Linked DNA regions of Lonchura striata. The main gene of each other region encodes a partner of the protein of the gene in region 3 in a complex. Links are inferred from orthologs where the notes say so. Each region holds a gene or a part of one and is shown on either strand. Other genes may lie near its edges.

The links.
Region 1: the proteins of CRHR1 (region 3) and CRH are in contact, whole or in part, in a cryo-EM structure (PDB 6P9X), measured with the Homo sapiens proteins. The link is inferred for Lonchura striata from reciprocal best matches to the Homo sapiens genes CRHR1 and CRH. Residues at the interface, in NP_004373.2 of Homo sapiens: Lys113, Tyr116, His117, Ala119, Val120, Asn123, Trp169, Val172, Gln173, Met176, Ser177, Pro178, His181, Thr192, Tyr195, Asn196, His199, Phe203, Phe260, Gly261, Lys262, Tyr267, Tyr272, Gln273, Met276, Ile277, Leu280, Tyr327, Phe330, Phe331; in NP_000747.1 of Homo sapiens: Glu156, Pro157, Pro158, Ile159, Ser160, Leu161, Asp162, Leu163, Thr164, Phe165, His166, Leu167, Leu168, Arg169, Glu170, Leu172, Met174, Arg176.
Region 2: the proteins of CRHR1 (region 3) and UCN are in contact, whole or in part, in a cryo-EM structure (PDB 6PB0), measured with the Homo sapiens proteins. The link is inferred for Lonchura striata from reciprocal best matches to the Homo sapiens genes CRHR1 and UCN. Residues at the interface, in NP_004373.2 of Homo sapiens: Leu106, Asn107, Glu109, Lys113, His117, Val120, Asn123, Trp169, Val172, Gln173, Ser177, Pro178, His181, Gln182, Thr192, Tyr195, Asn196, His199, Phe203, Phe260, Gly261, Lys262, Pro264, Tyr270, Tyr272, Gln273, Met276, Ile277, Tyr327, Phe330; in NP_003344.1 of Homo sapiens: Asn84, Pro85, Ser86, Leu87, Ser88, Ile89, Asp90, Leu91, Thr92, Phe93, His94, Leu95, Leu96, Arg97, Leu99, Leu100, Glu101, Leu102, Ala103, Arg104, Thr105, Gln106, Gln108, Arg109.

Annotation. Positions count from the first base shown.
Region 1 is NC_134603.1:35,190,302-35,199,916, reverse strand, and holds CRH (corticoliberin), read right to left. Parts: upstream 4,148-9,615; 5' UTR 3,855-4,147; intron 3,309-3,854; 5' UTR 3,294-3,308; coding exon 2,760-3,293; 3' UTR 2,278-2,759; downstream 1-2,277. Other genes in the region: TRIM55 (tripartite motif-containing protein 55), read left to right, coding at 99-218. UniProt on the Homo sapiens protein: Hormone regulating the release of corticotropin from pituitary gland. Induces NLRP6 in intestinal epithelial cells, hence may influence gut microbiota profile.
Region 2 is NC_134605.1:113,705,811-113,714,537, reverse strand, and holds UCN (urocortin), read right to left. Parts: upstream 2,173-8,727; coding exon 1,873-2,172; downstream 1-1,872. Other genes in the region: mitochondrial inner membrane protein Mpv17, read right to left, coding at 5,373-5,442, 5,517-5,569, 5,722-5,754, 7,191-7,286, 7,512-7,604, 7,934-8,041. UniProt on the Homo sapiens protein: Acts in vitro to stimulate the secretion of adrenocorticotropic hormone (ACTH). Binds with high affinity to CRF receptor types 1, 2-alpha, and 2-beta. Plays a role in the establishment of normal hearing thresholds.
Region 3 is NC_134627.1:1,367,190-1,378,162, reverse strand, and holds the start of CRHR1 (corticotropin-releasing factor receptor 1), read left to right. Parts: upstream 1-6,183; 5' UTR 6,184-6,560; coding exon 6,561-6,599; intron 6,600-10,973.

The DNA.
Region 1 (9,615 bases), on a different chromosome or scaffold from region 3:
CCACTTCATTCTGTTTCCCTGCATGTAGTGAAATCTTATGGATTTTAATGTAATTCATATTTTTCTCTTCCATTTATCAACCTTTCCTTTCTTTGCAGACTGGTTCTGAGCCATACACTCAAGGACGAGTGGAGGAAGCTCCCGTGAGCAGTGAGAGGGGTGACGAGCCGGCTCGTCATGTCTTCTCCTTCTCATGGTTGAACTCACTGAATGAATGATGACTCACTCTGGCTGGCTTCTGGTGTGCTTCTCTTCGGAAGGACTGTGAGCACAGGCAGCCTGGCTGCAGTCAGCAAAGAAACTGGCCTGGGAAGGGGCATCTGAACAGATTTCATTCCTGGGAACTCAGCTGACCTCCACACCATACCCTTGAATTGACAGGGAGAGAGAGGGGAGCATAGGGACAGATTATTTTATGTGTTGTAGTCAGAGTGTTTTCCAATAAGTTTTTGCTTCCATGGGGGAAGAGGCATCACTACAGCTTTAGTCTGAGCACTGCTAGTGTTTTGTAACTCACTTGATGGCACATCCCCATGTAGGTGTAAACACTTCACCAATGTTCTTAGCTAAAATGCTGGTGTGATATTCTCTAGTAGCATCCTTTGCCAGAACAGTGTTTCTCTTCAGGATTCTCCTACGTCCCCTCTTGTCAGTGCTGGTGGCTTCAGTGACACTCTTATGTCCTTGGCATCCCCAAGTTGGGGTTGTGTCTTACAGTACTGGTGCGTCCCAGGCTGCAGAGGCTGAACATGGGAGGGAAGAAGGAAGCTGCCATTTCTTCCTTTTCACTTGCTCTTCCTACTAAACCACAACAGATGACGCTTGCAGAAACACATTATTTGTAAGGAAGATTCCGAGTGGCAGGACTGAGGAAGAGACACTTACCAAAAAACACTGGCCAAGACCCCCACACAGCTTTGAGTATGTGGGGCAGTTGCTGAAGTGCTGCCCAGTCTTTCCAGCCGTTCCCTCTGTCCATGTCTTCTCTGCTGTCGGTGTGTGTACAAAAGGGGACATGTTCTTACATTAAACCAGGGTGCGATAAGGTGGTCACAGGTATTCACTCAAGGTTTAATTTGAAGCTGTGCTGTAGAAAAGGCAGATGCTGACTTTCCTATTCCGTGTGCATTGTAGATGTTGAGCCATCAAATGAAATCAAATTTGTGTCTTAAAAGAGGCTCTACAAGTTGTACTGAAGGCATCACTCTCTGGTTCTTGTCACTGGGAGTAGGTGTCAACACTCAGCAGTGTTTAAGAGATTGGCAGGCTGCCGGGAGTGCTTGGTGCCATAGGGGACCAGGTGTCAAGCTCTGCACTAGGGTTATGTGTGGATCTTTCCCAAATCCCCGAGCCAGGCCCTCACTGTGCTGTTTTGGCAGGGGCCTGTGTGGGGCCATAAGGCTGTGCTGTGCCCCAGCAGGACTGGTGAGCTGGCAGTGCAGACTGGTTAGCATAGCAGGCTGTGTGGGGTCAGCCCCTGTCCTGGGCACCCGTTTCTACCAGCCCTCGTTGGTATCTGTTTTCCCTGGAAAACTCTTGAGAGAGTTTTGCAGAATGCACAGGCAAGCTCCGTGCGAAAGCTTTGGAATTCGCACAGCCCAGAACGAGCGCCGCCCAGCACCGCCACCGCATCGCCTCCGGCTGCTGGAGCAGCTTTTCCCTGGGATTTGGTTCGGGGTGAGGGATTTACTATTTTCTCCCAGTCGTCCTGGAGATTTCCCCCAGCTCCTCCCGGGAAGTTTCTCCACACCCACTGCAGCCTCCCTAGAAGTCCCTGGGAGGGACCCAGGGTGGGCACGGCCGACGGGACGGGAGAAGCCGAAGCAGGGAGGAACCTGCCCTTTTGTGGTGCGGGAAGGGTGCGAAAACGCAAAAGAGATGCGGGAGCGCCTCACCGCTTTCCCATCGGTGCTCCCCGGCGGGAGGAGGCTGCCCGGTCCCGGACACAGCGGCAGGAGCCAGGGAGCTCCCTCGGGAGGCTGCAGAGGTGGGATTCGCCAGCTCGGGGGGGCTGATTTGGCCCTCGACGCCCCCTTCCCGGGAGCAGCCTGCGCCGAGCGCGGCGGCGGGAGCAGCCCCCGTCCGGGGCCGGCGGCGTCGGGGCGAGCCTGCGGGAGAGCCCGCGGATACAGGCCGGGGGGAAAACATCCCCGGGGAGATCCAGGGCTCCCCGCGGCTCTGGGTGTCCACGGCCGCGGGTGTCCCCCCGCCCCGGTTAGCGCTGAGGGAGGCGGAGCAGCCCCCAGGCGTCTAGGCAAGAAAATCTATCAAGGCATCTTTACTTTGCAGCTTTTATTAAAAATATAAATATTAAACATTCTCTTACACAACCAAATCGACCGAGCGCTGAAAAGATGATTTATTGTGAAAATGTTTACAGGAAAAAAAAAGTGGATTGAAAGTAGCTTACAGAGATTCCCCCTCCCACTCCCTGCCCCCAACAGAAAAGTTTTCTGTCTTCTTGGCACCATTTCTTCCAATGCTCACACATCCCTACGTAGCGATGGCACTAGAATAACTGGGAAATGGAGAAATAAATAAAGGTAAGGGAGGTTACAAACGACACTCGTGTTTCTGCACTTGGTACACGGTTGTGCATGCTAGTCAAGGGACAGAGGCTGTTCGGAGTACGCCCTTCTAGGTTTAAAGCTATATAAAAATAAAGAGATGACATCAGAGCAGCACTATGGTACATCGGACGGTGTAATTATTCTTGTGCTAACTGCGGAATCTCTTTGGCAAGGCGGGGAGGGGCCGTTTCACTTCCCGATTATCTCCATCAGTTTCCTGTTGCTGTGAGCTTGCTGCGCTAACTGCTCGGCTCGGGCCATCTCCAAGACTTCTCGCAGGAGGTGGAAAGTCAGATCCAGAGAAATAGGGGGTTCTTCGGATCGCTTCTCCCTCTCCACCGCCTCACCCTCGGCTTCCCCGTCCTCTCGGTCCCCCGGCGAGCGCTCGGGCAGCTGCTGCAGCTGTTGAACCGCCGCCCGGAAAAAGTTGCTGGCGGAGGCTTCGGGCTGTAGGTGGCTGGTGCTGCTGGAGGAGGCGGAGAAAGAACCAACGGGTCTCTTGTGAAGGTTGCCCAGGCGCAGGAAATACTCTTCTCCCATGCGGAGCAGGACGGGCAGAGTTTGCTGCTGCTGCTGCTGCTGTCGCTGCTGCTGCTGGAAGAAATCTGGCTGGTGCAGAGCCCCAGGGGCGGGTGCCGGGCTCTTGCTGAGAGCTCTGCACTCCTGGCAGGGCAGGAGGGCGACCAGCAGGATTCCCGTGGAGACCAGCAGCGGGATCTTCATGATCGGGGCCCAAACCTGCGGGGGCAGACGGGGGACGGGGTTTGGGTTACAAAGCCGAGCCGCAGCGGCGGGAAGGGCAGCGGGCGGCCGGGGAGGGGGCGTCCCCACCGCCGCTGTCCCGGTGCTGAAACGCGCCGCTCCGCGTCGCTCCGCGCCCCTCCGTTCCCCGCACACCACCCCCGGCTGCGCTCACCCCGGCCGGTCCACCCGCGCCGTCGAGGCGGCCGCTCCCCGCGGAACAACCCCGCGGAACAGCCCCGCGCGGCGGCTCCGCGCTGCGCCGGCAGCGGCTCCCGGGACCAGGCTGGGCTGAGCCCCTGCGGAGCGCTCACGCGTGTTCGCGACCCGTGCCCCTTCACCCACCCGGGGAGAGGGGGAACGTGGGGTGCCTGTGGCGGGGCGGCTCTCCCCACGAGCTGTGGGGTTTAAGCGCCCGTTCCCCGCCTCCCCGCTCCCTGTCCGGCCAGGACAGCTCCCCGTGTCCCGCGGGACGCGGCGCTCAGCCCCGCTCAGCGCAGGGCAGCGCATCCGCTGCGCGCCCGGCCGCGGCCGCGCACCTACCTGGGGCGGCGGAGGCGGCGGTAGGGCAGGGCGGGCGGCGGCGGGACTCGGCGGTGCCCGGCGTCCCTTCCTCTCGCTCTCCCTCGGAGCCGGCTCCTGGCAAACTTGGGATCAGATTTGGTACTAATCAGAGCCGGAGCGCGGGATTTTTATAGCTTAGACCCTCTCCTGGAATCACGCAGAACTTGCCTAATAAGCTGACGCTCTCCCTGACAGCCCGATTGCGTGCCCCGATCTACTGCTGAATAAATCATGGGGGCCCGTCGGAGCGGCGATGGGCCGAGTTTCGCTATCGCAACCCCAAATCTCACGTCCAATTATATCAACAGATATTTATCGCCTCTGCAGTGACGTCAGCCGGGCCGGGGGCCGGGGAGCAGGATGCCCCCCCCACCCCATTGACAAAAATACTTGAATGAGATTTCCTAGCGGGCGCGTACTATGAGAGGTCGCTCCGGGGAAACTTTCCACTCACGGGCCGGCCCGCGGGGAGGGACCCGACCCGAGCGGGGCCGGGGCTGATATCCCGAGCAATCTCCTTCTCCATCCTCGCTCTTTCCCGGCCGCCCGGCCTCCGCCGCCTCCGAGCCCGCCCTCACGGACGACTGTGGCGGGTGGGCAGGAGGCCTGCAGGGCGCGTGTTTTGCGTGGGTCCGGTCTTCGCTCCGCTCCCGGGGTCGGCGCGGGCCGGGGCAGCGCTCGCCCCGCGAAGCGGACAGGGGCGCAGCCGAGCCGCGGGAAGAGGAAGGTGCCAGTGCCGGCAGGGACCCGCGGCAGCGCTGGCACCGGAGCTGCCAGGGACCCCGCCGGCGGCAGAGGGGGCGGAAAGGCCCCGGGGGTGGCGGGGAAGGCCGAGACAGCCGCCAGGGCTGCCTGCGAGCATCTGCCGGGGCAGGGAGCGTCGCCCGGGGGGCGCTCGGCTCCTTCTGCCCCGCCACCGATGGCAGCGCCGCCGGCTCGTCCCGGCGCCGGCTCCGCGCTGCCGGCGCCCGCTCCCGCCGTGCGGCCCGTGCTCCTCTCCATTGCTCTCCCGCTGTTTGCGTGGAGGCAACAACTGCTCTTTTTCCCCCTTCTCGACTCCACTGGCTGATCTTCCCCACCTCTTCAACGCCATGGCCTTGTGCTTTCCCTGTTTGCCCTCCTCAGCTAAGGCCTTCCTCTCCAGCCTGTCCTAATCCCACGTGGAGCTTTTTCGAGGTGTTCTCCCATGACCAGTACATCTTCAAGCTCCAGACCGCAGTACATCAACGTCTCCACCTGGGTTTCTTGCTCTCTGATCTCTTCAAGAGGAAGTGCTGCCGAACTTCTAGAAATAACTTTTGCCCGACATCCATTCCATGTGTAATGTGTGGTCTTCCATTTTTGCATCCCATCACCTTTGCCAATGCCTTTCAGTCCTCTTTCTCCACTGCCTCAGTTGAAACATCAATCATTTCCTTCTCTTTAAGTTGGAGAACTCTACAGAAAACCTATTGGTTTTATCTTGCCTAGACAATAAACTCCTGGGGTCACACACTTGAGTGTTTCCCATCATAGTGAGGAGTTGGGACAGAACAGGTGGTCACATGCTATTGATGCAAAATGATAGATCTGAACTCCATTTCCTTAATAAAATAACAAAGTAAAAACCACTTAATGTATGAGGTTGGCCACAGACCAATTCTGAGCATCTCTTTAGGGATGCTCTAAACTTCAATTTTAGTTGTACCTAGCTCCAGCCTCAGATGCACATTTTGCAAAGTGCCAAAGAATCAGATCTTATGCGTCATGAAGAAACAAATGGAAAAACAGAGATTTAGTACCAGAGATTTAGCTCTTCATTACCACTTTTTGCTCAGGCATTCATGAACTGAAATGTGTATTACAGAACAGAATATATTGTGTAGCTAGTCACAGCATCAGTTATTTGTATGCTTTTAAAGCATGTCAGCATGGCTTTCAGTGAGAACAAGAGGTTCAAAGAAACAGGAGCTAAGTTCAATCAATTGAAGGAAAATGTTAGAGGTACTTATTAAACTCAAACCCTTTAGATGTGCTCTGGGTTGGGTTTTATCAGTGTCTCCATTTTTAGGTTTAACATACTGCTTAAAAACACAAAAGCCTCTTAAAATAATGAGATCATAAATGTAAAGAAAGAAGAATTTTTATCAGAATAATAATTTTTTTTGTGTTAGGGGTGAGGTTTGAATAAGACAGAGCTGCATTTCTCCAAAAGATTGATGCCAGTGAGAAATGGCACAGGTTATGTTATGTTTTTAATAATTTACAGTATTATTTAGGTCTCTTTAGGCAGACAGTTTTGTCCCTTGAAGAAATCCAGGTATAGCAAATGCAACAGAGAAGGAGGCTGGTATCCTCAAGTTTCTACAAGAGCTGTACAAGATGCCAGTTTCTTTTCCTCCATTTTTCTCTCACCCCTGGCTCTGAGTATGGTCCGCAGTGTCTCACACAAGCTTGTTTCTAAGCCAACATGGTCCTATTACCCCACTTTCCTCATAGATCCTGAGTGATGTGTGAGGGCTTGCAGCAATGCAGGGAACACTGTGAGACAGTCGGATGTCTTGATAATGAGGAATATAAAATATCACAGATACATAAACCAAAAAAAGTACTTCCTTCAGCACTTCAAATGCACAACTGACTACCTAGGAATATAAAAGTCCTTTCCCCACAGTCACTAGTTTCTGAGTGAAATGTCAGCTGTCACTTCTGAAGGAGATTGCAACAGAAGAAATCTTGGCTTCTCAACAGAGGGGTGAAAAAGGAATACAAGGAGGATATGAGGTACATCTGGATTTAGAGATTTTTGTTTAGTATTATAGTTGGAGATTAGCATACCCTTCATAAGAAAAGTGTTCATATTTGACTCATTCTGCAAACATCAGGAGCAAACAGAAATTTTAGTGAATCACAAAATAACTGTCTAGAAATAAAAAACACTATTGAGAACCATTTCCTCTCCTCTGACTCGGGTTGAGTGCTCTTGCCCTTTAGCCTTGGTGATCTCAAACTCAGGCACCTACTGAAAAGCAATTACAGCTGCTCTGAGGTAGCTCAGGGAAAGCAAAAGCATGCCCAGAGCATGATGCACCCCCCGCAATAGAGCACCTTCGGGTTTCTGGAGACGTTCACCTTGTTCCCTTGTCTATAAAGGGAGTGCAGACAACCACCTTTGCCTGCCCACTGAATTCTTAGGCAGCAATGTGAGGTGAGAAGAATCCCCTCCTCACTGACTGACCATAGCAGAGAGATCACACAGTTCTAAGTATGGTAATACAGAGGGGATGATGTTAAACTGAGGTTATGGCTCTTACCCCAGGTATTTTTGAAGATGCCCAACTACAAACGTGGAAGGATGCACACCAGATGTAGATCAACTTTCTACCACAGCGCAATATTTCATTGCCACTTTGTCAGAAGGCAGCAAGGATTTTTTGCATTGGTGAGTTCAGCAAACATTTCCACATCTCACAGTACCCCTTCATGTGATCCCCATCGTTCTTGATCCATGTGGTCAGACACACGATCTTACAGTCTGACTATTTCAGGTGAACTCAGCTCATCTCACCCACTCTGAGATGCCAGTAATCATGCACTGACATGTGTACATCACACTTCCATTTCACCTTTTGGTAGTCTTGATACAAAGAAATTTGTATCTGATAGTTATAAATATTATGGATTCTGGGACAGCTGAGAGAAAAAGAAAAATTAAATTCAGGGTATCTTACTCTGCCTGAAGGTGATAAGTCACCTTAAGAACAAAATACATTTGCCTATTATTCTTCAGCAGACTGAATTTGCTAGAATAATCATAGATAACCTCAATTAAAGTGAGTTATAAAAATAAATCAAAATAAATCAATTATATACAAAAAAGTATGTTGTAGACCAGGATGAAAAATTAAACTGATAAGGATTTCAGCTATCTGCCCTTGCTTCTGACCCCAGAAGTCTTCAAAATTCTCTCCTTCACTTTTAATTTCTCTTTCATTTTTCAATCACATTGCTCTGGGAAGGAAGTCACATGCTCCTGTCACAGAGATTTTCTGTGGTGCACCTCAGTCTTACAGCAGAGCTCCACCTATGATTTGTATCAGATTTCCCTACAGTCCCATGAGAGAGAGAGTAAAGCACTTTAAATTCCCAAACTTTCCAGTGGGAAAAACACGCTAGAGGGTGAAGAAATTTATCAAATATCTGTCCAGGAATTGTGTAAGAAGTAGGAGTGAGTCTTGCATTATCTGAGACCAAGCTCAACCAGAGGACTATTTTCATTCACGACTTCATATTCTTACTCTTGATCCTTGATGTCTGCTTACAAGATGTAATTTTATGTGTTTGGGGGTCCCAGCAGAAGGAAAAATTCCTTAGGAATATCCTCTTGGTTCCACCATGTCTGGGAGGAGCACAGCCGTCCCCAGCAGCTCACACACGGGTGGATTTGCAGGGACGGTCTGACCCCCAGTTGAGCAGGGGCAGTGTGCACTGCTCAGGAATCCCAAGCATGGACCTACTGTCCCAGCCAGAGCCTTCCCTTCACCCAAAGCCCTGCCTGTTCAATTCCCACCAGTGAGGGTAACACGGGGAGGAGCTGCTCCCATACCCTCTTGGACACGCCTAAAAGCACTTCTGGAGGCCTCACAGCATTGCTCTCTTCTTCTGAGCAGGGAAGGGACTTGCAGAAGCTGTGAGCAGCATGGAGGTGGGAAAGTGCTGTGCCTCTCTCCTCCTGACAGCCCTCATCCAGGGAGACAACAGCTGACCTTTATATTTACCTCACAAGACTTGTCAGCTGCTATTCTTGCTCTCAAATAAGGGCTGGAGAAGGCTGCCCAGGCACATGTGTGAGCCCGCTGTGCTGTTAATGATAATGCTACAGGAACTAATCTCAGTTATTGGTAACACCAAGGAAATCCATCAAACAGGCATGTCCCAGGAGCACCAAGCAACGGGTATTCCTGGTTGTCTTGGTGTCTGGGTACATTTGGCCATTAAAGAAATTTTGCTGGTTAGCTGAGTACCCAGTTTGTCTGTCTGTCCTTGGTGCAGAGTGAGGCAAGGACAAGGACAAGGATCTGCGTTTGCATCTGGCACGCATCTGGAACAAGCCACTGGGATATCCAGGCTCACAGTTCAGAGTGGCAGAGTGGTACAGACACAATGGATAGCAGGGTATGGCTGCAGTGAGCAAAACAGGGGATGCTGAGCCACGGGAGGGCAGGCACTGGGCCAAGGGGAAGTAGAAGAAACCAGGGTGGAACTTCAGGGAAGGATAGGGAGGGAACTCTACAGTGCCTCTCCCCAGGAACAGCTCTGTCCCTGGAGGTTAGAGCCCAGAACTGACCCTGAACTTGGGGCAGGGAGGGGGGGCACAGCTAGCCCACAATGGTGTAACCAGCATGGATGGCAGGCTTGCTCCAGGAAGTCTGTGAAGAACTGTCCACAAAAGGCCAGGAGCAGATGCGAGCCTGTCTGCCCAGCTAGGATGTCCCTGTGGGAAAGTCCCCTGGGCCACCGATGGCTTCAGCCTTCAAACACACCACTGACACCAGGGACCCTGCTTTGATCTTAGCGTGCGCAGCACCAGGGCTGTCATCGGCCATTAGTGTCAGCAGCAAGGTTTGGTGCATTTTGCTCTGACACTGGAGCCATGTCACGAGCCTGGGGGAGCCAGGCAGCCGGGGTAATGGATCCGAGCACTGCTAGAAAATTCAAGAGAAATACTGGAGCACAACTGAGCTGCTGTTGCATTTTCCAG
Region 2 (8,727 bases), on a different chromosome or scaffold from region 3:
GGGATACCTACGTGTATACTTGCCTAGTGGGAGGGAAGGAGGAGGGAGCAGGCTCTTCCCAGTGCAGCCCAGTCACAGGACCAGCAACCACAGGCACAAACTGGCCTCCAAAAGTTTGGGGTTTTTTTGCAGCGAGGCTGATCACAGAGGGTGCCCAGAATAGGCTGCCCAGAGGGGTTGTGGTCCCTCCAGCTGGGAAGGCACCCACGGCTGCGTGAGGGGCAGGAGGTCCCTAGGTCCCCACTAGCCCCAGCTCTGTTTGTCAGGGTGTCCAAGTCAGTGTCCAACCTGGTATAAATATCTCCTAGGAGGGATCGTCCCACTACAATCCTTCTTGCCGCAAGGCCTTCCAGCTCCAGGGTACTGATGCTCTGGTGGAATTTCCCCATTCAAGTCCCAGTGGCCACAGCATGAGCAGCTGGAGCAGGGCCTGGAGTGGGGAATCTCCAGCCTTGAGCTCATTCCCAAAGGCTGTGCTCCCCAACTCTTTTGCCCCTTGGTACAGCTCCCTACCAGAGCCACGGGGTCACTGCAAGAGCTCCTGTGAACTCGGGGGGCTTCACACTCTGCTGGTGTTATGAAGCCCTGCACCCCTGCCTGTCTTGAGCACTGACTCCCCTGCTGTCACATCTGCGCAGTCCTTCCAGGCACTCCATTAGAAACAGGGCTCCAGCTCTGCCATGCTGCCCTTCCAGCAGCTGTTGGGATGCTATCAAAGAATTTCTGGCTGGTTTAGGTGGGAAGAGACATCCAGTCACATCCACAGCCACCAGCAGGATCACTTTCCACAGAGCAAGTGGTGAGGACCAGGGCCAGCCACAAGGAGGCTGAACCTCCCCCAACTGCCTCAGAAGGCTTCATCCCTGTCCTCTGATTGAGGGCCAAGGAACACAGCCCACCACAGTGCCCCCCTCCCACCCACCACTCCAGCCCTGACCCACTCAGCAGCACTGAGTGTCCCGTGGAGGTTTCCTCCCACTCCTGGAGCTCCCACATCGTGGCCATATCCCCCCAAAGGGTCTGTGTCTGTCCCTCCCGCAGCTCCCAGCCTCGCCCACCATCCTGGGGCAGGATTGCTTCTCTGCTCATGTCCCCACCTGTGGACACGTGTGTGCAGACGCCTGTGACTGGCTCACTGGTGGTGGGGACCCATCGTTCCCATCCCTCTGTCCCATTTGCTTCCTACTGCTCCCACTCCTGGGGAGCTGTGAGCATCGCCTCCCCCCGAAGCACATGGTGTGTCCCCCCTGACCCAGAACACCCACGGCCTTGTTCCAGAGCTGGGGGGTTCGTGCTGCTGGCCCAGCTGCTCCTACCCAGCCCTGACCCAGCTCATGCTGTCTCCCACTTCTGAGCCCTTAGTCCCTTTCCAGTGAGCCCTTTCCCTATTCCCAGTGAGTCTGTTTGTCCCTTCCTGGTAAACCCATTCCACCACTCCCAATGAGTTGTTTCCCCATCCCTGGTGAGCCCCCTCTTCATTCCTCATAAACCCATTCCCCATTCCTGATGAGCCCATTACCTTGCTCCCACTGAGCCTCTTTCCCTGTTCCCACTGAGCCTCTTTCCCCATTCCCCATTTCCAGTGAGCACATTCCCAGTTTGCCCAGTCCCTGGTCCTGCACAGCCCCAGCTGCCCCCACCCCTCACTCGCTCACGCCTCGGGTTTCCACCACGTTTTATTACAAAATCGGTGCGGACCGGTGCCGGGCCGGTTCCGCTCCCGCTCGCCGCAGCGCTGGGGCTGAGGCGGGCTCAGCCCGTGCCGGTGTTGGTGCCGAGCGCCGCACAGTGCAGGGGCCAGGGTGGCTGGAGGCCGGTGCAGCCCGGGGTCATGGGGGGTTCGGGGTGTCCGGGGATGCCGGGGTCTGGGGTTCAGCGCCCCACGGCGTCGAGGATGCGGCGATTGGAATCGGCGCGGGCGCGCTGGCTCTGGGCGCGGGCGAGCAGCAAGAGGTGCCGCAGGAGGTGGAACGTGAGGTCGATGGAGAGCGGCGGCTCGTCCCGCCGCCCTCGCCACGGCCCCGGGGGCGGCGGCGCCAGCGGCGGCCAGAGCGGCTGGTCCTGAGCCCCGGTCCCGGCCGCCGGGATGGAGCCGTCGGTGGTGGCGGGGCGGGCGGCGGCGGGCGGCGGGCGGGCGAGCAGCAGCAGGAGGGTGAGCAGTGCCCGCCGCATCCTCGCTCCTTCTGCACCTACGGGGCAGGGGCTTAGCGCCGCAGCAGAGACTGGGGCGGCGGCGGAGGCCCGACGGGAACCGCGGCCCCGGCGGCGCGGGGACGGTCCCGGGCGCGGAGCCCCCTCCCGCCCCGTTCCGCCCCCTCTGCGCGCCCCGGCCCCGGTGCCGTCCCTGCCCGGTCCCCAAGCCCCGTCCCGTACCCGGTGCGCTGTGCCCGTGCCCTGTTCCTGCCGGTGCTGGCGGCGCGGCGAGCGATCCGTCCCGCGGGAGCTGAGCCGGCGGCGCGGCCGGGGGTTATATCGGCCCGGGAGCCCGGGCTGACGTCAGCGCCGGGCACGCACCGGGCGGCGGGGGCGGGGGAGAGGGGGCACCGGAGCGGCGGGGAGCGGGCACCCGGCGGCGGGACGGGCTTGAGGGACGGAGGGGCGGAGAGGCAGAGCCCGCTCTCGCCGGTTTCGGGAGCCACCTCTCCGATTCTTTTCTGACGCCCACCAGAGAGGCACGGCGGGGCCGGGGCCGGTGAGAGCAGGTGCCTTGGGCCGTGCTAACCCTCGCTTCCCCTGTCCCCCGGTTTCCCGGTCGCCCCGTTCCCTCTCCCGGCTCTGCCGCATCTCCGGCCTCATTCTCCGCCGCTGTCCGCGGTGCTGAACGGCCGGGACGCGCTGGGGCACCGGGGCCGGTGGGCTGTACAGGTGAGCTCCCGGTGAGCCCTCAGTGAGCTGTACGGGGCTAGCCGCGGCTTCTCGGCGTGGAGCCCTTGCGTTCCCGGGCGGAACGGCCGCGTCGAGCAGCGGCGTCCAAGCAGCGATCGGGGCGGGAGGGACTCCTGGGCGGAGGTGGGGATACCCCAAGCACCGGCAGCTCCGGGACGGGGCGGTCACGGGTGGGACCCCCAGCCTGGCCGTGGCTCAGCGTCCCGGGCGGAGCGGGCGGTGCCGAGGTCGAACCGCGGGGCCGAGGCCGCAGACGCCCCGAGCGCAGCGGCGGCATCGGCCAAGTCCTGTGAGTCATAGAATGAAGGCACCGGAGCTGGCAGCGCCGTGCTGGATTCAGGGTGTTCCGTCGGGGCACCGGCACCGCTGCCAAATGGTGAGGTGGCTGCTGGGGCTCCACACTACTGCCGGCATCCCCCCGAGCGCTCCCCACCGCTGCCGGCAGCCCCCGAGCGTCCTGCGGCTGCCGGCCGAGCGTAGCCGAGCTGACACCCAGCGCCGACGCTGCTACAGGGGCAGAGCAGCGGGGCAGTGCCGGTGCGGGGCACAGCCGGGCACAGGGGCTCAGCCCGGCCCCTCGCACGGTGTGTCCCACCCCGGGTGGCACAGGGGCGGCGGGGCACGGCCCTGCCCGCAGCGAGCAGCACACGGTGTCGTGCCCCCATGACGTGATCCGGCATGAAGGCTGGCACCGGGCACCGCCTCCTGCAGCGGCAGGGCAGAGCCCTCAGCAGGGGCTGGGCTCAGCCCCCCGAGCCCTGGCAGCCCCATGCTGGGGCGGCTGCTCCTGGGGACAAGTGGCTCATTCCACGTGGCTCTTGCCATGCTCGCAGCTCTCATTGCTGACAGAGAGAGCCTCCAGCACCCCCAGAGGGAGCTGCAAGAGGCTCAACACCTCAGAGCTGCAAATTCCTGCCACCCACAGCACCCACCCCACTGGCTGTAGAGGACTTGAGCCCCACACAGAACCCCCCAAGTACTGGTGCCATCCGTGCATGGCCCCATCACCTGGCCCCAGCCCTGTGCTGCCCCATTGAGCACTGCTGGGGGAAAGGGGGCTGCAGCTGCAGCCCCTCCAGTCCCCTGCCTCACCCCTCAGCACTGTGCAGGATTTGCCTCCTCTGTATTCCAGGTTGTATCCACCCGGCCGGAGCAGCCCCAAAGCTGGGGCCAGCACAGAACCAGACCATGGGGAGGATGAGGGTGGAGGACAGACGGTAGCACCCTCCATGAAGGCCATGCTGGCAGGGCCCCGCTGGCTCTGTCCAGCTGTGTGGGGCTGCAGGAGCACAGGTGAGGGGGCCAGGGCCCAGGGCTCCACAGAAATGGGAGGAACCCCCACGGTGCCACCAGCTCCACTTGGAGCCCCTGGTTGGGATGTGCTGGGCAGGAACACTGTGGGAGCTGGACGCTGTGAGTGTGCGACACTGTGTGCTCGCTGCCACTGCAGGATGAGCGTGGACACACATCCCCAGGGGCAGCAGCACAGGCAGTGGCAGCTCCACGGGGCTTCTCTCTGGCATGACAGGCAGGCTTGTCTCAGACATGGCACAGGTGGATTGTGGCCCTGGCCCAAATCCAGCTCCAGCCCTACCCCCAACCCTTTCTGGACCCTCCCCAGATGCACAGCCTTGTACCAAGCAAGCCCTGACCCTGGGGGGACTCTGCACCCAGCATCAGGACTTCGGCTCCATCGACCTCATTCCAATGCTCTGCAGCTGCGGAAGGACCATCACAGCCCATGGAACAGCTTCAGTAGCACCTGATGAACCCCTAAACCACCACCCACCCTCTGTCAGAGTCCCCTCCCCTCTCTATCCGGTGGGGCAGACCACCCCAGCCCGCAACCCCTAGCCCCATGCTCAGTGCCTTGACATGAGGTAGAGTGGACCTGTTGATCCTTAACAGGACAGTTGCCCTGGAACAGCACTTTCAGGGCCTGGGGGCATGCTGGCCACAAGCCCCAGGGCCCCAGGAATCAAAAGTGAAGACAACTGTTTATTGATGCTTTGACTGTCCACAGCAGAGCCACAGCAAACCCTGTTTTCAGGGGAAGCATCCCCAGCCTGCAGTGAGCCCAGTTCTGCGCCCACAGCACAGCCAGCCCAGGCCAGCCCTGCTCCATTTCCACTCCTCTTTTCCCTCGGGATGTGCTGTGGGGAAGGTCAGAGTGACACTCAGGACAGGAGCACCCCGTGTGCAGGGCTTGGAAATGGCTGAGCACAGAGAGAGAAGTGCACCGTGGGCAGAGTCGCTGCACAGCATGGCTGGAGCAGATCCAGGCCTGTCCTGGCACCATCTTCTCCTTGGGGCAGGAGGCCGTGGCCATAGGGGATGGTGTTCCCCTGAGAAAAGCGCAGGATGGCTGCTGCAGGACCCCGTGTATCCCAGCCTGCCCACGGCCATGCGTGCCCATGGCCAGGGCTCCGAGTTGTGCTGGTCTGGAGCGCACAGGCCGGGCACAGGCACAGGACACGGATTGTGCCTCACATCCGATTCGCTTTCCAGGACAGGTAGCAGTTCCAGACGATGGCAACACATTGGACAACAGCCAGCCTGGGGACAGAGGAACAGGGTCTGCAGCTGCCGGCTCAGGGGGCACGGACTGGGCACCAGGGCCGCAACACTACCTGTGCTGCAGAGGCACGAAGTAGAAGTTCGCAATTTGCACGGGTGGCCAGATCTGGGCAGAGAAGAGGAGGAGCGGTGAGGAGCCCTGCCAGGGTCCCTGTCCCACACCCACCCCTGCCTGGCACTCAGGGTGTCCCACAGAGCCCACGGCAGCCCCATGGAGGAAACGGACAGGGACAGGGACACAGATGTGCGAGCACTCACACAGTAATTGGTCATCAGGGCATCCATGTAGTCCTGGAAGAAAAAGGAGCTGTGAGCACTCAGGGCCCCCATCCTTGCCGCTGGTGCCCTAACTCCACACTGGAGTCCTCCACACTGCTGGGCACGGAGCCCCTGCAGCCCTGCCCATGCCTTCCCAGAGCCATGAGGGTGGCAGGGAGAGGGTGACCAGAACCATCCCCACTGAGAGCCCTTCGTGCCATAGCCAGGGCACATGGGCCCATGGCTTGGCCCCCCAGTGTGGGCTGTGAGCCCCTTTCCAGCTCAGTGCTCCCCCAGACCCCTCCTGGGCACCACATGGCAGAAACGGAGAGGGGCACTGAGCTGGGGCAGCTGCTCCAGGAGTCCAAGGTGCCGCCTTGTCCTCGTGCCACAGCCACGGCCGTGTCGCATCCCTGTCCCGTGGCAGCAGGACAAGTCCCTCCTGCAGCTTGGCCGTGACTCAGCCAGGAGGCCGGGCTCCTCCTGGCGCTGGCCAGCAGCCCAGGACGGGGTGAGCGGGCGCGGGGTGATGGATGCTCTGCTGACGCTTCCTCTGCGTGGGGAGAGGCGGATGCGCCCCAAGCCAGGGGTGAAGGTGCTGCCAGCACTGCTGCCCATCCCCAGCCCATCAGCCCCTTCCAGGCCAGGGCTCCCAGGAGCCACAGCTCACACGAATCACCAACCACGGCAGGATTCCCTGGGGAAGGCAAGGCAGATCCATGGCACGAGCTGGTCAGGATGCAGCAGGGGAAGATGGATGGGAGCACTCAGAGTGCTGCCTGTGCCCACGATCTGTTCACGCGTGCCCTTAGGGTGCCTTGGAGCACCCCATGCCCAGCTGTAGCTTGCATAGAGCCTGACAAAAGCAGAGGTGATGTGATCCCGCCCTGGGATCTCCTTCCTGCGCTCTGGGGCGGGATGAGGGGCACATGCTGGCAGCCCAGTGTGTAACAGGCTGGTGACTGGGTGCCCCCACACAGAGGAATGAACACTGGTGGTGGCACCTGGGCAGAGCTCCAGCCAGGCTGGGGCCGTGCTCAGGCAGCAGCAGTGAGAGAGGCTGGCGCTGCCGCTCCTGGCAGCCACGCGACCACCCCAGCACTCCTCATCCTGTGGCAGGTGGGCACCCACTCCCCAGTGACTCACACTGGACACGCTGACTCAGTGTTCACACCGGTGTCCAGCAATTACTGTTAATGGGAGTCATCTTGGTAATTGCTCCGGAGGCCCAGCCAGGAGCTGGGCTGGACAGCACGCTCGTGGCACCCATGACTGGCCCAGGTGGGACCCCAGGACTCGCCCACAGGACACCCATGCCAGAGGAACTGGCCCTGGCACCAGTATATGGACTGGCAGCACTGGGCACCCAACACGCCCAGGGCCGTGGGACACAAGTGGGAGCAGCCGTCAGGGCCAGCACACAGGAGGAGCTGCCAGGGCCCCAGGGTGCCCAGGGCAGCAGCACATACCTGCTGGATCTTGGACCAGTTCTCCTGCACCGACAGCCCGTTCGTGGCCCCTGTGACAGCCAGGAAGCAGCCAAGGAAGCACGGAGCGAAACCCCCCTGCGAGAGAGGAGCCCCGGCCGATGCTGAGGAGCTCATGGTGCTTGGAGCCAGGCTGGCCATGGGCAGCCTCTGCCAAAATGACCACCTCAGCCCTCCACGGCAGCGAGGCTGGGCCCAGCTCAGGCACTGGGCTCTCAGAGCAGGCTGGAAACTTGCCACAGGGACTATCCTGTGTCCCCACTGCCCCACAGTCCCACACATCCTCACCCATGTCACACCAACCTGGTCCAGGATCACCTTCTTCACAGCCACAACTTTTGTATTCCCAGGGATGAGCCAATCCAGAATCCTGTACCAGCTGCCCACAACAGGGCCCTGCAGGAGCCAGGGGGTGAGGAGCATTATCTGCCCTCACTGGTCACAGCGGTCAGGGCTGAGGGCCTCCAGGGCAGGTTACCTGGCCCTGCTCCAGCTCTGGACCACAAAGACAAGCTCATTCTATGCTGCTCCTGCTCCATAGAACTGGCCTTGCCATGGCCGCTGGAGGTGGCATCAGGGTGGCCCAACTCACAGTCCACCACCACAGTCCCACCCTGCTGTAGGAGCCATCCCATCCCATCCCATCCCATCCCATCCCATCCCATCCCATCCCATCCCATCCCATCCCATCCCATCCCATCCCATCCCATCCCATCCCCACTCACCACAAAGCAGAAGCCAATGCCCATCATTTTCAGGGTGCGGAGGCAGTGGTGCCCATGCAGCCCCCGCTGCTCCACCAGCTGCTGTGCAATCACATCTCCAGCTCCCATGAGGGCCCCTGCAACCAGCACAGCCCATTTAGGCAGGCCAGACCCCCGTGTGACTTGCCCCCAGCTGGGCCCCCTGCCCCAGGATGCCTGAGCCTGTTCCAGCCCTGTCCTAGCTGCAGCTCCCCAGCCTGCACCAAAGCCCATGGCACAGGTGTCCCGCTCTGCCAAGTGCCTCAGGGCTCTCACCGCAGCATCTCTGGTCAAAACGGTCCAAGCTGCACCTCCTCCCAGTGACCCAGACACGGGGCAGACCCATCACCCAGGCTCCACGGCGCTCTCAGAGCAGAGCAGAGCCCGCCCAGCTGCTGCCCATGATCTCCACCGCAGCCTTTCCCACAGCACCCCCAAATCTCTCCCTGGACACCGGGCAGGTTCTGCCGGCTGTGATCCCCTCCCTGGAGACCAGCTCTCTGTCTGCATCCCCCACTAGCCGGGATGGGCAGAACGTGCTCCCCGCTGCCCCAGCCCTTGCCACAGCTGGCTGCTGGCACAGCTCCTGGCCCTGTTTCTAGATCAGTGTCCCTGGTGGGGTGCTGCCCGGCTGGGTCTCTGGCAGCTCCTGCTCTATCCTACACCCCTGACCCCTTCGACGCAACTCAGCTGGCCCAGTGCTGCCCCTCCAGCTGCTCCCCCGGCCCTGGCGGCTCCTGCTCCCTCTCCCCACTCCCCCGAGACAGTTCTCTGGC
Region 3 (10,973 bases):
TCTTGGCTGCTCCACAGCAGTGACCTGTGCACTGCCACAGCAATGCTCCCTGTGCCTGCAGGGACCATGAGCTGCCATGCACAAATTTCCCATTCACACACGGTGCCACCTCAGCACATCCAAGGAAATATGAGGAGAGGGGAAGTAGATCCCTGTGCAAACTGGATCCCTTTCAGCAGAGCAGATTTGAAATTTCCTCTTTCCCCTGTAATAAATTGCAGGCCTTTGGTTGGCCCTTACTCAGTGGTTAATTATTGCTAATGAAGGAAAAATCCTGAGCAATGATGGAGTAAAATATGCATCAGGAATACAGTTAGCAAACTGCTAAAACCTTAAAATCTCTGGGATAAAGCATTATATATATACTAATAATCTCTGGACTTTTCATGGACTGAGGAACTTTACAGAACAAGAGGGCAAACCCAAAGACATCCTAAATAAATGACTGGCCTTTGTCCCCAGCTGAAGCACTGAGGACCTACAGGATCGTAGTTAACATGTGCCTGGAGAAAAACATTTGAAAAACGATTTTTACCTATGTGACCAAATTATTTTATGACCACAACTATTAAACAAGGTACTCACACCACTTTCCATGTCACCTGCACACTGGCAACAGCCAGAGAAACAGAGATGGCAGAAAGTTTTTGGCCTCATCAAATGTCGGGAGATTATCTGTGAGATTATTGTACAGAGAAGATGTGACCCAAACACATGAAGAAAATGGGCTGAGAGGTCACAAACTGAACAAAACTTTGCCAGATTCTTGTTGGCTGCATGTGCAATCCCTTTAGTACCAGCACCATCCAGTGAATAGTTTCCAAGGCCCATTTCAGGAAGACAGTGCAGCATCTCTTCTCAGACAGTGGCCGAGTCCAGTCTGAGGCTGCATCACCAGGAAAGCAGATGGAACTGGGGCCTTGTAGGAGCTCTGCAGCAAGACTTCCCCTCTGGAGTTCCATTCCCACCAGGCTGCCTGTTTCCATCATGCTGAATGGCTGCTCCCGGTGCCAGCCGCCACCACCTCCAACACATCCACCGTCTGCCTTCCCTCCATTCCCAGCACAGTGGCTCAAGCTGGCTGGTGCCTTGGCACCAACCCACCCTCTAATGCACAGGAGAAGGAAGGGGAAACCTTCAAAGAAATCCCACCAACAGCTCTCACAGAAAATCTTCAGACCAACCTGAGCAATTTCCTGATCCAAGCCCTCTTCATCCTCTTCCTTGCACGGTTCTGCTTGGCCTGCCAAGTCCTGGGGACACCAGGTCACTTAGTCTCTGCCCTTTATGCCAGCACAGAGATGTCTTTTATAGAATTCTACATTGCATTTGGAATTTTATTTCATTTTTATTTTGCTGCTTTTTGTTGTCTGTGTTGAGGCTCTGTGCGTCATCTCTTCTCAGTTTTATTTGATTGCCTTTTGGAGATGAGGAGATTAATATTTCATCAAACATACAGGGAATAAATAACCAGATTTGAAAGACATCCAGAACCTTTCCTACCCTGAGGGCTACTTGCAGACCTGAGAAGTGGGGAAGTATTTTTACCACAAGCTATTTCTGAGAACGTCACAATCCCTGCTACAATCTCTGCAGGACATTTCCACCACCCATGACATGTCCACATCCATGATGCTGTGGAGTTAACGCCAACAGGTGTGAGTGCAACACTCTGGATATGCCCATTCTTCTGTGGGAGGGCTCAGCCTGGAGAAAAGGAGGCTCGGGGGGACCTTCTGGCTCTCCACAACACCAGCGGGGGGTGGGGGGCAGCTGGTGGAGTTGGGCTCTTCTCTCAGGGAACAAGATACAGGACAAGAGGAAATGGTGTCAAGCTCTGCTAGGGGAGGTTCAGGTTTGACATCAGGATGAATTTCCTCATGGAAAGAGCTATTAAGCATTGCAAGGGACTGCCCAGGGAGGTTTGGAGTCCCTATCCCTGGAGGTGTCCAAGGACATGTCACTCAGTACTCTAGGTTTGGTAACAAGGTGAGGATGGGGCACAGGTTGGACTCCATGGTCTGGGAGGGATTTTCCAATCTTATTATTCCATGATGCATGGAAGAGTCTCTGTACATCCTTGTATATCCATAAGAACTCATGTACATCTGTACAACAACAGACAATGCAGCAGAATTGTGATGTGTTCCTATGCTGCCAGACACAGCTACAAAGAGGCTCAAAGCTGACAGTGTTGTGCATCTCTGTGTCACACACGGTGTGAAGACAGAGCCACTTTCTGCTGCTGCTTTGGTGGGATCAGTTTCCAGAATAAAACCATGGAGTTTTTCCCAACCACAAACCACTGTGATCTGTTTGATGGGAAATGCCAACTGCTGATTGGGAAATTTCAGTTGACTTTGCTTTGAATGAGAAAAATAATAATTATGACTTTTATTATGATCAGTTTAGCATTCTGCCTTGAGGTTTAATTAGCTGAAGAACAAAAGCTTTTGTGTTTCTGTTATATTCAAAACTGACACATCCTCCCAAAAGCAATTTGAAAAACATGGCAAACACTTTTGAGAAACTTGGGAAGCAAATGAGAAATTCAGTTAGATCCCAAATCTTTGTGGGTTTCCTTGAGTTTGCAGTTGCCATGTTTTTGTAAATGTGGGATCTCCTATTAATGCACACAGTGTGGGAATTAAAAATGGCAGGGGGGATTTATCCGTGTAAATGAAAGAATCAGTCACTTGCTGCATGGAGCAATGAGTCAGAGTAAACCCAGCTCCATGTGTCTGAGTTTTCCTTCTCCCAGCAGGACACTAGTTTGTCTTCCTGCATGGACTCTTCTGCATCTCCAGCAGAGTTTGACGGGACGAACAGGGGTCTGAAGTGTCCAGAGGCCACCCAAGCATTTGCAAGGCCTTCAAGAAAATCTGCCAGCACAGCTCTAAGGTAATACTCACTGAATGAGGTTGGTAACAATCTTTGGTTTCTTTCCCTGCAATGTTTTCAGCAGGGCTGTGGCTTGAGCTTTCCTGCTCTTCGTTTCAGAGCACCTGAGATTTGCAGGGGTGAAGCAGGTGATACAGAGTGGTCAAATACAACAGGGATACTCAAATATGAGGCATGATTATACTATGTGGTAAGCAGGAATGAGAGGAACCTCATCCCAGCAGCTACTTTCTTTAGTCAGGCAGAGTTTGAGAGAGTGTTCCCCTCACTGCAGGTCTAGGAGGAGGGAAAAGGACACAGGACAGAAAACCTGGAAACTAATTTTAAAAGCGGGGCAAAAAACAAGTCTCCTGGGAGAAACAATGTGGTGGGTTGGATTTTTTCTTGGCCTGCAGTTGCTAACACAGCCCCATGTGCTGACAGCCTGTCCTCCCCTGAGCAGTGCCCCGAGCATTCCCAGCTGCACTCAACCTCCTGGGAAAGAAACAGTCCCAACACACAGGTGGGGAAATTGAGGCACACTGCTGATCTCAGCTGGGATTTCAGCTGAGAAGCTAAACCTCACCTTTCCACCAAACTGGCCTAAATGTCCAGGACACTGAGGATTATTTTCTCCTACAGATGTCCTAGCTGGAAGCAAAGCCCTGCTACCAGTGCTCCATGGGAGAAGCAAGGATGCATTTCCCTGCACCCTTTCAGTGCACGGAACAGTCCCAGTCTCATCCCTATACTGCAGGAGGGACACATGGAGTTTTCCCAAACCAGGTGAAGGTTGGCTGCAGGGACAGGGTGGGAGCAGGGCAGTGGTGTAAGTCCTGCAAACAGCCCCAAAGTGCAGCTGTCATGGAGCTGCTCAGACACAGGACTGTCAAACCACATGGAGTTACATAAAATAATAGTTTACCAAAGGCAGGTAAGTCAGACTCAATCTCTCCCTCCTTCCTAGATATCCGATATTTCTCTTCATTGTCTCCATCCCTAAAAGCCATATCCAACATCTGTCTCTGCACTGCATCGAGAAGTTTGAGATTAACCGTGACAAATGGACTGATTTCTGTGTCTCAGGGACTGTTCTATTTTTCCTTTGCCACATCTGACAAGTTGCATTTTACTATAAATCCCCTCAATTAGGTGCTTTAAACAACACTGCAGCCTTTTCCCTGATATATGGGGAAGGAATTATTTTCATGTCCCTGGCAACCAATTCCTTAACTAAAAATAGTGCTCACTTCTGCCTTCCTTGCATCACCTCATACTTAGGGCACCTGAGCAGAGCATGGCCATCCTACATGTCCTTCTTGCTGGCCATGGGCAGGCTGAGATGATGAAAGACAATCCTTGGTCTTGGTGTGGGAATAAGGTCTCTTGTGCTTCCCATTGCAAGGTCCCTTCTGTCCCCTGGGTGCACAAAGCCCTGAGCAGCCTCCAAAACCAGAGTGTGTTTTGTGACCAGGAACTGTGCCCTAGACCTGTGATGGTAGAAGGTGTCCCATGGCAGGGGTTTGGAACTACATGATCTCCCAATTCAAACAATTCCATGATCCTGTGATGCCCTCAGCTGAATCCAGGATGCTCAAAATTATTTGGAGCAAGCTTTCTCAAGCCATTTGTAGAAAATTATGCATTTTCCATGGGCTTATTGAAGTGAGAGGTAACACAAGGGTGGCTCTGGAGTCTGTCTCATCCCATACTTGTCACAGGAGGGATGTTAAGATATCTCAGAAACAAAAGTTTGCTGAATTTACCAGAGATTTAAATATTTTCATATTTCTTTGTCAAAGCAGTGACACAATTGATTTAACCCAGCTAACGCCAAAAGATTTATGTCTGTGTTGTTTATTCCCCTTAATTACTGGGCCAGGAGCATTTACCCTTTGGGGGCCAGGATGGGTCACTAGGTGCCCCCACATGCTGGGACACAGCCCTGCTCAGTACTTGTGCCTTGGTCCTGCAGCTGCAGGTGCTCCAGAGACAAAGAGCAGCTCAGTAAAGATGGATAGAGGCTGTGGCCGTGAATTCATCAAGAGACTCTGCCCTTCTATTGATTTATCTGCAACCTGCTGTGGTCTGCAGCCATTCCCAGAGGCAGAGCCTGCAGCTGGGAGCACAATCCAGCACCCTGTGAGAGGCTGGTGGTAGATGAAGCGTCATCAGCTAAGGGAAATATCACACCCCTAGATGGTGGTCCCATGGCAATATTTTCCAGCATCCCCCCTCCCAGCAGTACACCTCATTGATCCTTATTTCCTCAAGGAAAGAAGGAAGCAACAATCTGTTGCCTGGCTGTCTGCCCCAGCTCACCTCAGGCTGATGGAGCTGGGCTCACTCCCAGGATACGCAGAGCACCCACAGTGGGACACCCCCCTAAACCTCAGTGAGTACAGAAGGCATGCTCTGAAACTGCCCTGGCATGGGGGAGCAGGTTTAACCCAGCCTACCAACTCAGGGATGGACACAATCCTGACCATATCAACCCCGGGACACAGGGGTGTGTGGAATCCCTCCCCAGGAGACCAGGAGATGGCTGCCAGGGAACTGCAGGAGCTGAGACACAGAGGTGTGACAGGAGACCCTTTAAAGCCAGAGGGTTATGCTAGGCGAGAAGGGACATATCATTATGCAAGACCTCAGGAGCATCATCCAGGCTCTCCCACACCACTGTTCCCCACCCTTCCCCCCCTTCTCTATCAGTTCAAACCCCACCTGCTCCTGTCCCATCACCTCTGCCCCTGCCACCAACCCAGCTTACGGGACAAAGCACGGTGCTAGCAGCACCTCCACTTCCTCCGGGTCCACCCTTGTGATCAAACATCCCTCGCACAGTCCCGCTGTGTGGAAGACCCGAGTCCACCTGCCCCACATCCCTGTTCTTCCCTCAGGAGCCTCTCCCTCGCAAGGCAGGGCTGAAACCCCTTCCACCCCATCCCTGTGGAAGAGAAAAGGGGCTCTGCCCTCCTTTCGTGCTCACCATCCGTTTTGCAAAGGGGCTGCAAAGGCTGACGGGGGGGACCTGGGAGAAACTGGGACACTTGTCCCAGTTCCTCTGACAGAGCCCTGGAGCGAAATCCCCAAATGTGTAACACCCGCTCATCCCCTCATCCCCGGCAAATGCAGCCCCAAAGCCTTCGCAGACACAAAAGAAGCCGCCAGGCTCCACAGGAGGGACCCCACAGCGTCTGCACGATGGGAGTGAGAGGGGTGGAGAGGAGAAACCCCCTCCAAGGAGAGGCGGGAGGGCGGTCCCTGGGCCGGTGGGAAGTTTCTGCTGCTGAAGATGCTGAGGGAGGGAAGGAGAAAAGGGGGGCGGGGGGGGAGAAATCAAATACAGTTGGAAGGCACCAGGGAGGTGGAGGAAGGAAAAGGGGAGGAGGAAGAGGAGGAGGAGGGAGAGAAGGGGGAGTGGGAGGCTGGTGAGGAGGGATGTAGCCCATCGCCAGGCGAGCTGGAAGGTGGGCAGCCGGAGGACCGGCTCCGAGGAGGTTATAAAAGGCAGGACCGGGACGCAGAAGGACCCGCAGCCTCCGCGCAGCCCTGCGGGACCCGCCAGGCTCCTTCGCTGGAAGCCCAGAGGATTGTCTCCCCGACGGCAGGAGCAGCCCGGCAGGAGCGGGGACGCTGCCGGCCATGCCCCGGGGAGCTGGGCGCAGGGGCAGCTGAGGATGGTGCCCAGCCTACGTCCTGCCCTCCTCCTCCTGCAGGTAAGATGCTTTAAGTCCTCTTCTCCCATAAGGGCCCTTCTGCCCCGTCCCCATCACCCCTACGCCGTGCATCGCCCGCGTTCTCCGCAGTGACTTTTCAATTTCTTTGACGGGAAAAGTAGGAAGAGAAACCGCAACACAAAGGGCCCTCGGGAGAATTCCTCCAGTCGAGGCACTGGGGTTTAGCAAGATCTCGTGATGCTCAAAGACTATCGGGGAGGGGGGCTGAAGTGAGTGAAAGGATCATTTAAAGGGGGGGAGAATCGCAGCCAGGTCCTCCTGAACTCACCCCAGGGCTCCCAGTAACTCCCAGCCTTGCACCTCCCAGTGAAAACAGCTGCCACCAGTTTCCCAGGCTGCTGGGAGCGGGTGGCCACTCTGGGCGTGTGGTGGATGTGGACAGTGCAAATGCACAGTCCAGTTGTACCTCCCATAATTAATTTTCTAAGGAACCCTCTCCTTTACTGCCCTGCACCTGCAAAGCACAACACTTTTTCTCTCTAATTTGCTTGCTGTGGAACTGTAGCCACTGCTAATTTTGCAGCTCTGCACAATATGCAAATGCTTTGTCAGAAGCAATATTCCTCCTCCTTGAGGGCTCATCAAGGAGGGAAACATTAACAGCCCCAAAGCTTGTTTAAATCCCAAGCCATGGACAAACAAGATGAAGGGTCTCCCAGTGAAATCTTGAATTTTATTTGAACAAGCCTAGAGTGGCAGTTAAACAAATTGATCAGGTTTCTGATAAAACCTCTGTGTCAAGGAGGGGTAAAAGAACAAATCTGCCTGACTGGCTGCAGAATGGTGTCTCAGTGGCCCAGCTGGGACTGCAGAGTTAAAACAGCAGGTAAAGTGGAGGGAGAGCTCTCCCCATTGTCACCACTACGGCTTGTACCCTGCAGGCTGTGCACCCCACTGTTCACTCCAATGCGTATCTCACATGTCAGCTGCACCTCTGGGCCAGGAAAGTTCTTACCTAAATGATGAAAAGAGCTGATGAGCACCAGGAGACCTCCTGCCTAGTTGGTGTTGCTTCTAAAAACTCTTCTGAGCAGCTGCTCTCTCTTATTGCTGTAACCCACTAAGCCTGATTGATAGGGTTTATGGGAGCTATTTTGCTGTTACTTTCCCTGGTTCAGGTTTTGTTGGGCTCTGATGTAAGAAATAAAGCTGACACAGGGCAGGATCTTTTCCCCCAGCCCAGGTCCTTCTTGGCCAGTCTAGCACAGACCCAGTGCAGTAAGATCATGTTCTGGTGGGGAGAGCCACGTGAACATGACAGCTCCTAATAACTTCGGTGAGCAAAAAGTGGTACAAAAGAAGCCCAGAGGTGCTGATACACAGCTTCCATCCTCTGTCAAAGCTCCTTAGGCTCAGGGGGACTCCCTTGCCATCCCCAGGTGTTCCCCAAGGATATTCTCCTTGTGAAGGTGGAGCAGCAAATCTTCACAAACCTTCCAGATTCTGAGACAAAACCATCCCTGCACTCTGGCTGGGACCAGGAGAGAGGGGTCAGAAAAACCAGACCAGACAAAGAGAAGCCTCTCCAGCTGGCTCCAAAAAGAAACAGCCAATCTACAACTACCCCCCCCCACCCCCACTTTGCAGTCAAGCTGTCTATTTTTCCTTATAAATACATGCATTCAAATCTCAGATGTTTTTCCAGAACAGTCCTAACCCTCTCTTGGGGACAGCATGAACTAAAGGACCATGAAACTCCAGCCATGAGTGCATCCCTGCAGCCAGGTATAGCTGCAGCAGCATCCTGCCTGTGAGTGCAGAGACCTGCAGCAGCCCAGCTCCAACCCAGAGCTCAGCAGGGACAAACCTCCCCTGCAGATACTGGGTTGGCACAGTTTAGGCGTTCCCCGTGCACCTGGTTTGTACCTCCACTTTAGCATCAGTTTGCCCATGTTGCTTTACTGAATAGACATCCCTCAGGATGTCGGACAGACAGACTAGGAGATAGGCAGCCAAACTTGCTGCCAAACTTGCTGCCAAGTGCTCCCTGGCACCCTTGCAAGTCATTGAAACAAACTAAAAAAGTGATTAAAAATAAACCAGTCCACTTGCATCTCTGTCAGGAGCCAATGACATTTCTGTGGCTGATAGAACTGCAAAGTGTTTTATGAAAAATCAGGGATTGATGATTTGGTTTCACTTGACCACCTCCAGCAGCAATAAGCCCAAAAACAACCCCTGCTCCTTCCATGCTTGAATCCTTGCATAAAATGCAGAGCTGCAGTTGCAGGACATGCTGACCCTGGGGATCTCTTCCAGTCCTTGCTTTCCTTAAAAGCTGGAGTTGATTCAGTGTGTATGAAATCATCCCTGTGGTTCTGCATCTCCAGCAAAGAAGTGAATGGAAAAGGCACAGCCTGTTCCCAGAATAGCTGCACTATCACCACAGGATGTATAGGAATACAATGAGAATATCCTGCACCACCAGCTCAACCCTGCCCTGAAATCCAGCTCTGCTCCCAAAATCCTGCACAGGGTTAGCCTAGAAGTTCATTGTGAGTGACAAGCTCAAGCTGCAATTGAGTCTGCAGTGCTTAGAGAGGCTGCATCCATGGATTTGTCTGTGAGAACAGTTTTTGAACCCAAAGAAAGCACAAATCAACCCCCAAATCATGGGGTTCCCTCACAAAGCAGAGCCCAGGAGCCATTGTCCAACACCTCAGAGCTGTCACTCAGGAGAGGGTGGCTCTTTCTGAAGATGGAATAACATAGCCCGGGCCCATCTGTTGTTTTTCCCTAACTGTATTCTGAGCTATAGAAGAGACCCTCCTTCTCTGCTTTATCTACAGTCACCCTCCTAGGAGGAGTCGCCTCTATTTCAATGGCCAAGGGCAAAGTGTGTTGGTATTCTGCAGATCACAGTCCCTCTTCCACCCTGAAATCTGCAGTATCCACCCCAGCAGATGCAACTTTGGTGTGGCCAAGCTTTCCTGAGCTGTGAATGTGAATAAACCAGAAAAAAAAATTATGGGGAATTTAATTGTGGATGTTCAACCCTAAAAAGGTGATGGGTGAACGAGGGGGTTTGGGGCAGTCAAGATGAGGGTTTTGGGACAGAGCTGGAGGGAAAAATGTCCAATCCCAAACTGAAAATAGCTGTCAATACACAGGAGTTCCACATGTACAATCTGCAGGAGAGTTTAATAAAATTGCCTTAGAAAAACAGCCCTCCCCCAGGCTTGTGCCCATCACTCCAGTCTTCCTCAGCAGCCTTTGCCCCTGCAAATCCAGATCCCATAGGAGCTGAATGGTTGCATGCCCTTTCCCAGCTTGACGATGCCTTTAGCTTCCAACACCCAAATGCCATTTGTCATTTTTTAACCTGTCCCTAAAAATTCATGTCTCTCACGACAGATAAATGAAGTCAGAATTATTTATGGCAAGTGACAGAGACCCGAGCTTAATCCAGGAAAACCTTTAATTGCTCATAAATCAGTTTTTACAGGGCATTATTTAGCCTTGATTGATATTCTTTTGTTAGGATCTGCATCCAGCACACTTGGAGAGAGACTGCAAACAGAATAAACACTCTCACCAAAGCTCCTGTTTACACACCACAGAGACTGGCCATCTAATACAGATAAATTAATAAACTCGCAGATTTTAATGCCAGATGGAGGATGGAGATGTTCTCACTGCCTGCTCTCCCGCTGAGGAACACCAGCCATGGAAAAATTCCCCCACGAGTCTTGCTTTGAGCCTTGTTCCATTGCCTGAGCTTTGCCTTGATGTCCCAGTGATGGCAGGGCTTGGAATGGGGCTTTGGGAGAGAAATGAAGGAGCAACAGGGGCTTGGTAGGGCAGTGAAGGGGCTTGGAGTGGCAAAACAGGTTACTGCCAGGTCTAAAACAGAGGGTCCTTCCTGGACCAGATCTGCCTGGAGGTTTCATTTGGAAACTGTTCCAAGCAAAAGCCCTCAAAGTGGAGCAGGTAAGAAGATCCCCAGCTGCAGAAAACAATGCCTGGAAGCCAGAGGAGACAAAGGCAAAGAGATGCAAGCACATTTGAGGGCAGCTCTTTCAATCAGGCTGTTGCAGGGCACCTCCAGCCTCCAGCTGCAGTCCTGGCAGGACGTGCTGCTCCCCCCCCCACACCACTAATGCTGCTCTGCCATCTGAAGTTGGCATCCAGCTCTTTTAAAACTCACTGTATTTAACACCCAAAGTCTGGCATGTTTTGCTGAAGGCTCAGAGCCAAGAACAGGCTCCATCCCAGCCTAATGCCGCAGGGAACCTCAGGAAAGGTCCAGGGCAGCAGTTGCTCAGCCCTTTCCTGCTCTGTGTTCCAGGAGGTCTTCCCTCTTCCACACCAAGTGTTGTAGTGAGCAGCAAGCCTAGCCAAGCCAGGGAGCAG